2 linked regions of the Ovis aries genome follow. The protein of the gene in region 1 purifies or fractionates together with the protein of each later gene. This does not show direct contact. Links are inferred from orthologs where the notes say so. Each region holds a gene or a part of one and is shown on either strand. Other genes may lie near its edges.

Region 1 (3,712 bases):
CGTCCCAGGTAGTGTTTTACGTTTATACACACCAAGCCCTGGTTTGTATCAACAGGACACACACATACACATATAAAACAAAGAAAAGCACCTTTGTATTAAAATTGGGAGTCCTCCCAGAATTCTTAGTCATACATGATGCATGCTTGAATGAAACATCGACAGAGAATTTCCAAACAGAAAGATTCTTGGCTAGTGATTAAACAGTGGCATCCATAACTCAAGCTTGTGGTGTTTTAATTACTTTAACACATACATTCCCTAGTTAGCCAGCCAGACTTGGTTATTCTAAATGGCTGAATGAGTCTGCAACATGTCACAACTATCTGTATCACATATAACCAATAGCTAAGATTTTTAAAAACCTCTTGTCCCACAGAACCACACTTTCTTGCTGCAAGATGCCCAGATCTTACCTTTCTTTTCACACATGCCGCACCTCTGTCATGCATTTCACATAGTATAATGTGCACTATGGAAGTCACAGGAAAGAACAGGAAAGAAAAAAAACACCTCAGTAATAACATTTTATTATAAAACTGTGCTTTATTATAAGGAAATTTTAAATATAACCAACAATACTGAAAATAATGTAACTGGCATTTACAGCCTTGGTCAGAGTTCTTTATTAAACAGGCATTTGTAGTTAACAATTAGCTTATGCAACAAAATAGGTAACTTGAAAAAGTGAAGGAAGTTGAAAATACAGAATGATAAACCAAGAATTTGTGGTTCTTTGTGTTTTTTTTCTTGTTTGGTAGACATGACTTTTAAAATCTGAAATATTATAGAAAACAAGTCTGCACGCAGTAAGCTCTCTTCCCGTGGGAAAGTTTGCAAAGTAGTTAAAACTGTCCTAAAATGTGGCTGAAGGTATATTTTACATACTTCTTATATATACATTATCCAATTCACGTATCTTTACCACATTTTCATTATACAAGCAAGACCAGAAACATTCTCTAATAAGACCAAACTAGCCACAGAATTTTTTTACCCATGTATATATTTCTTTGAAACATATTTCCCAAAATGAAACCACTGATTTAAAAGGGAACAACTGGTTAGAATTAATGTCTCTAGACACTGGGGTCACATAGTCCTAGAACTCATGTAAGAGTATACTGCTTTGGTGGAATATAATTCATTCATTCTATGTAGCAGAATAAGCATTATCAATTATCAACAAAAATCTATTCAGCTGAGTTCATTCTGCATTTGCAGAATGAAGTGAATGCAATTGAGAGTCTATATTAAAGCAAGTAGAGGGGCCTAATGGAATACTTGGAATGGGCAGAAATTCCTTTTATTCTTATATATGTTTTACTTACAAGAATTTATTTCTCCCACTTTGGAGGAAACCCATGGGAGCAGATGTCTGCAAGGATTTTATTACACATGTCTAGTGAAGAACAAAGAAATATCTATGGGCATGTTGATAAGGACCCCAAATATTTTTGGTATAGGATACTTTTTTTTTAGCATTTATAATAAGATCTTAGGCGTTTAGAAGACAACAATTAAGTTTAAAGAGCATTTAAAAATATTTGTGACATTAAATGTCAAACAAATTTTTAAAGATAACAAATACAGAGAACTGCAAAAATGGAAAAAGGAAGCATAGATAGATGCTTTATGAGGAAAATAATGACCTTTCATCTAAAGACGCTTTCCTGTTGTTGTAATGACTAAACTGCCTGTCCTTAAAACCACTAGAATATGTAGGCTACTGACATTATACCCAAGAAATCAAAAGGTACTTTATTGCAAAAATATAAAAGATTTTAAAATTGCATAAGATGTTTTATACCATTTCACCAATAGGCCAAGGCCAGCACATAACTTATCAAGCCAGAAAAACTTTAAAACAAAAATGGTTAAATTGTACTTACTATATATAGTGAGTTGTAAAAAGAATGTGATGCCATGCTGTATAGCATGATTCACTGCCAAGTTCCCTTTTACATGGGTGTAGTCATAACATATCAATCTGAGTAAGTCAAAATGAATACACATTGCCTATGATAACATCCTTTAATTATCTTCTTAAACAGATACTTTCAATATATTACAATCATCTGAATCTTCAGTCAAATCATAATTTTGTGGAGTAGAAAGTCATTTTATCAGTATGTTGATTTTTTTGGATCTACTCTTTTTAGAAAGTGACTTTAAAGCCTATTGACTATTAAATATCTATTCTGTTTACTGATACATTGTAAATGTAAAAAAAGGAAAAAACCTGAAATCACAGAAAATGCTTGGCATCTACACAAACACATTCTCAGTGGACTAACCACTACTGTGTAATTTTGTCACTAGAGGTCTTGCTCCAATACTTTTGCTTCATGCAGTGGGTTCAACAATATCCATGTTCGTTCCAAACAGGGCGACTAATTGCTCTTCATAGGTAGCGATGTTCCTTTTCATGATTTCCATGCAGGGTCCCAAAAGCCTTTCAAACGCTTGCACATCCATGGCTAAGAAGAGTGGAGAATAAAAGAAAAATAACATTCTTTACAAATCTGGAATTTCTCAGTCACTTATGGTACCTATTTCACATATGTCAGTGATGCAATGGCATTTTTGCATAAATAACAGATACAAGAAAAAGGCATAAAGATAAAAACATTCCACTTCAAAAAGGAAGCAGCCAGTGGCCCGTGGCCATATGACATTGTATTGGAAGTTCCTGATCCAGGTTAAAAGAATGAGGGATTGTTATGGCAAGACCTTAGAATTTAAAAAAAAAAACAAATACATTTTTATGTCACCACTTTAGCAGTATGAACTCAGGGGTGCAAGGTAGTGTTTTCTATCTTGTTTTCCCTCCTCAGGACTTACAATGCAATGTTGTGAAGACCAAATGTTACCTTTTATAATTTTTTATACTAGGGTCTAGTCAATTCAAAATGGTAGCCCAAGTAATGATTTTGTCCGCGTCTGTTAAGTATATGCTCCATGTTGCTTAGATTGCTTGTCTCGAGCATTTTTAAAAACTGAATTTATATGAAAATATGATCATGCTATCATTAAGTTAAAATTCTTTTTTTTTTTTTTTGCTTCTTAAATTTACAGAACTAAAAAAGGCAGTGTTTACAACAGAGTGAATGGAAATTCTTGCACTGCTGGCAGCATGTAAATAAGTGCAAATACAAGTGATCTGGCAATAGGTATCAAAAACCATAAACAGAAAACCCACTTCCAAAAAGCGTTTCTCAGGAAAAATCCTAGTATTTTTCCTGAGTAGTATATGCATACACCCCCACAGAAAAGCTCTCCCCCACAGTGCAAAGGAGCCAAAACTCAAAAATTATGTGACAGTATCAGAAGTGAGTAAATAATTCAGCATGTATTTAACCAATGTTAATATCTGATGTAATAAACATGAGAAAATGCCTAAGCTATAATGAATGAAAGAAGCAGTTTACAAAACTGATTTAAAACTGAAAACATATAAATAAAAAAGGATGATAAGAAATTATAATAGGATGTGGAAATTGCTGGGTGGTGGTGGTACTGGGTAACTCTTAGTTTTTCCTACCTTTCTGTATTTCTCAAATTTAATGTGACTATACATTTTATTGGAGAAGGAAATGGCAACCCACTCCAGTATTCTTGCCTGGAGAATCCCATGGACGGAGGAGCTTGGTGGGCTATAGTCTACGGGTCGCAAAGAGTCGGACACGACTGAGCAAGCGATACATTTTAT
Region 2 (3,657 bases), about 40 Mb from region 1:
AACTCACCGAGAACAACAGATTTCATGAAGAACCATGGCTTGTGCTGAGTCTTTAATAATAACCAGGACCTCACCAGGGAGGAAAGAGGGGCATATTAAGTAGATACGACAGCAAGTGTAAAGGTACAAGGCTTGAGTGAGTGTGTTACCTTTAAGGAGTTACAGACATGCTTATTACGACTAACCGTAAAGGCTGCTTTCATTATACAGACGACAGACCTAGATGTAGGTAGTGAAGAGCAATGAAAGGCTTAAGGCTGGAGCATGCCATAAACAAAATTTATGTGTGACAAAGAATCCTTCGACAGTACTCTGCAAAGTAAAGTATATTAGAAAAGAAAGATTGTGTCGCCAAGCTGTGACATCAGGAAGTTATTGCCCATGGTCTAGGTGAGGAATGCGGAAGGCCTGAATGCAGGCAATGACCGAAGGCACAGGGACAGACATTTAGGAGCCAGAAGGAACAGGCCCTAGCGACTGCTTGGGTGTGCGCGTAAGAGCAAAGGAAACTGATCTGTGCTGACTTTCAACTCTATCCCGGGTGATACCATGACCAGAAATGCGGGATTAGGACCGGAAGGAGGAAAGGAAGACGATGCTCAGTCTGGTCTGTGCCTGTGAGGTTCCTAAAGAGGTCACCACGGGGTATGTTTCCCTAAGGAAAGGTGTTGCGTAAATAACTGAAAATATAAACCTGGAACACAGGACAAAGGTCTTGACTAGAACCACAGTCCACAAGAAGATAAGCTACACAAGGGCAAGATCCTTATCAGATTTGTTCATCGTAGCCTCAGAACCCAATATAGTACCTGGCACGTACTAGGTGCCCAATATAAGTATTTGTTCAATAATTAAGTCTACTGAGAATTCAGGCTTTGGGAATGAATGAGCTTTCACATTAAGAGGACAACAATGGACGAGCATAGGAAGAAGAGGAACTCTTAAAGGTGAATGATGAAAGAAATGGAAGAAATGAGAGAATATTAACACAAAAGGTAAGGAAAGAGGGTATTTCAAATGGAAGAGGTCAAAAGTATCAAATGCTACAAAGAAGCCAAGAACTACAGGGACTGAACAGATTCACCGCGTGAGTCAACCGAGTGCACTGGCAGCATCCCAAGCGTGGTCTCACCGCGCGCTGCAGATAAAGGCAGCCTACTGCTGCGAGGAACTTCAGAATGTAAGTAAGAGGCCACCACAATTTCTCAATAATGGTAATACTGCTTCCCCTCAAACTTTCACTGTCTTCTGTTGGGGTAAGGCAAACATTACTAATATTTTAAATAAATGAAGCGATAAAAACTCTTAAAAAATGCAGTGTCAGTATCAAACGATCCGTGTAATTTCCATCATAGCTTCGCTCTCGATACTTTAAAAAGTGTTTTTAAAAAGTCTTACCTCTTCTCCTGGCTGGTCAGTTAATTTTTGTAGTTGTAAAATAATTCTATCAATATTTTCCTGAACCCAAACAAAATCTTCATCATCTGCTGTTTCAAACTGTAGTCTTCAAAAAAGAAAAAAAGGGCAAAAAGTCAAAACATATCAACTCAAGGAGCTGTGTTCCTAACACAAACATTGCCGGTCAGGTGACACTACTTCACCTCTTTTTTCTCTTTTACTAAGTTTCTCTTTGCCTGAGTCAGGGTGCTATGAGAATTATTTTCAGGTATATGAGTTCTGTTAAAGATCACCTTCTAGTGTAAACATGCATTAACTTTAAAATTTTCACTAGCTTCTAGTGAGGGACAGACTCTGCCCAGCTTGCCTAAGAATGCCATTTCCAAAAGCTAGCCAGAAAATTCTAACCTATTGGAGGCTTTCTGGGCTAGATGCTGTAGTTTTGACGCCACACACTGAAGTTTTTGTCTGATTATTTCCAATTCATGATTATAGCCAGTTCCTCCTCCATTCATTTCAATCATTTTAGGATAGCTTGATTCCTTTGTCTCTCCCATTTTCTGCTGAAGAACCCAATTTCTGGTTCGATCATTGGTTAAACTCCATGTGGTTGGCTAGAAATTTTGGACAGAAAAAGAAAAATGAAAATTGTACCACAAATAGCACATCACATTCTTTCTTAAGGGAACATAATTACTGTTTATATTCCAAATAGACTTCTATAGATTTATAAATGATTGTACATCATTTAATCCAGTATCAAAATTATATGATCACAGGACTACAATATTCTTCTAAAAGATATTTTAAAACAAAATGTCAATTTACCTCATTAAGATTCTGATACAGAATTCTTCTACTTTCTCGTGTTTCTTCTCGGTCTCGTTCTTGCTTCTGGAATTCCTGCATAATCCCTTGCAGTCGTTTTCCTTCCAGGTCTAGCTTATAAACTTGCTGCCTTTTCTCTTCCAGTTGGCGCTGAAGGTCTTCCACCTTGGCCTGAAGCTCGTGCATTTTCTTCTGTCCCTCTGTGTTGGCCTCCTGTTCTGTCTGCAGCGTCTTTCTGTGAACCTGCCTATCCTTTTCCATTTGCTGTCTTGTTTGCAAGGAATCCAGTTTGTATTTCTCAGTCTCACTTAACAGTTCCACGATACGACTGTGTTTCTCCTCTAGCTGCTTTTGAAGCTCCTTAAGGAGGTCCTCGGAGGGTAAGCATGGCCGGGGCTGCCCACCGTCATCGCTGCTCTGCAGCTGTGCACGCAATTCCCGCTCCCGATCCAGGGTACTACTCATTTCCCGAATCCGAACTTTCTCGGATTCAAGAAGCACCTGAAGCTCTAAGCTGCGGCCTCGTTCTTCGGCTAGCTGGGCATCGTGTAGCGCCCTTTGTGATTCTATCTCCTGCTGCGATTCATTCAGTTGTTGTCTCTGTTGTTCCAAAAGTTGACTCAGTTGGATATTTCTTTGTTTCTGACCCTCAAGTGAAAACTTCAGATCCTTGTAGGAGAAAGGTGAATTTGAGAATTTGTTCATGTTAATATTAGTAAAAATACCTCATAAGTATACAATTGTGCCCTTATGCTTTTATTAATACTAAGTTGGTAGTATTTGGTAAAAGAACTGACGACCATTTTGCTAACTTTTATCTTCAGTAGTTAGAATGTTAAATTATTTGGGCAGCCAGTTGATGTTCATCAAACAATATCAACAAAAGAGAGTTAAGCTAAATAACACTTTTTCTCCCAACATTAATCATATCTGGTTAAGGAATATGCAGCAGATTAATAATCTTAAAAGTATTTATCATATAATGTGATGGGAGTTCCTGAAACTCCTTGAATTTTTCCATGCATTACCACATAACTAAAAATAACTGGGCTTATGGAGAAGGCCGGGGGACAAACTACTCAAATGCTATAAACATCTATGATGATAAAAATACTGATAACTGAAGAAATAAAAGTCCTTGCTAGGCAGAAAGCTCACAATGCCTGGTGGCTACCATGGTGGACCCTAGGAAAAAAAACAAAAACAAAAACAAATGTAGCAGGGCAGAAATTCTGGCTAGGCTTTCCAGGTGGCGCCAGGGGTACGGATCTGCCCGCCAATGCAGAAAACACAAGAGACATGGGTCTGAATCTTGGGTCAGAAGACCCCTGGAGTAGGAAATGGCAACCCACTCCCGTATTCTTCCCAGGGAAATCGCACGGACAGAGGAGCCTGGCAGGCTACTGCGGATGGGCTCGCGAACAGTTGGAC

Evidence for each region. The genes of interacting proteins can lie anywhere in the genome.
Region 2: the proteins of PRKAR2B (region 1) and AKAP9 purify together in Homo sapiens (affinity purification with mass spectrometry; 3 studies listed by BioGRID and IntAct, counting the BioPlex papers as one, with this or other methods). This does not show direct contact. The link is inferred for Ovis aries from reciprocal best matches to the Homo sapiens genes PRKAR2B and AKAP9.

What each region holds. Positions count from the first base shown.
Region 1 is NC_056057.1:49,772,706-49,776,417, reverse strand, and holds the end of PRKAR2B (cAMP-dependent protein kinase type II-beta regulatory subunit), read right to left. Parts: intron 2,481-3,712; coding exon 2,347-2,480; 3' UTR 527-2,346; downstream 1-526. UniProt on the Homo sapiens protein: Regulatory subunit of the cAMP-dependent protein kinases involved in cAMP signaling in cells. Type II regulatory chains mediate membrane association by binding to anchoring proteins, including the MAP2 kinase.
Region 2 is NC_056057.1:10,189,719-10,193,375, reverse strand, and holds part of AKAP9 (A-kinase anchor protein 9), read right to left. Parts: intron 2,896-3,657; coding exon 2,227-2,895; intron 2,013-2,226; coding exon 1,807-2,012; intron 1,505-1,806; coding exon 1,399-1,504; intron 1-1,398. UniProt on the Homo sapiens protein: Scaffolding protein that assembles several protein kinases and phosphatases on the centrosome and Golgi apparatus. Required to maintain the integrity of the Golgi apparatus. Required for microtubule nucleation at the cis-side of the Golgi apparatus.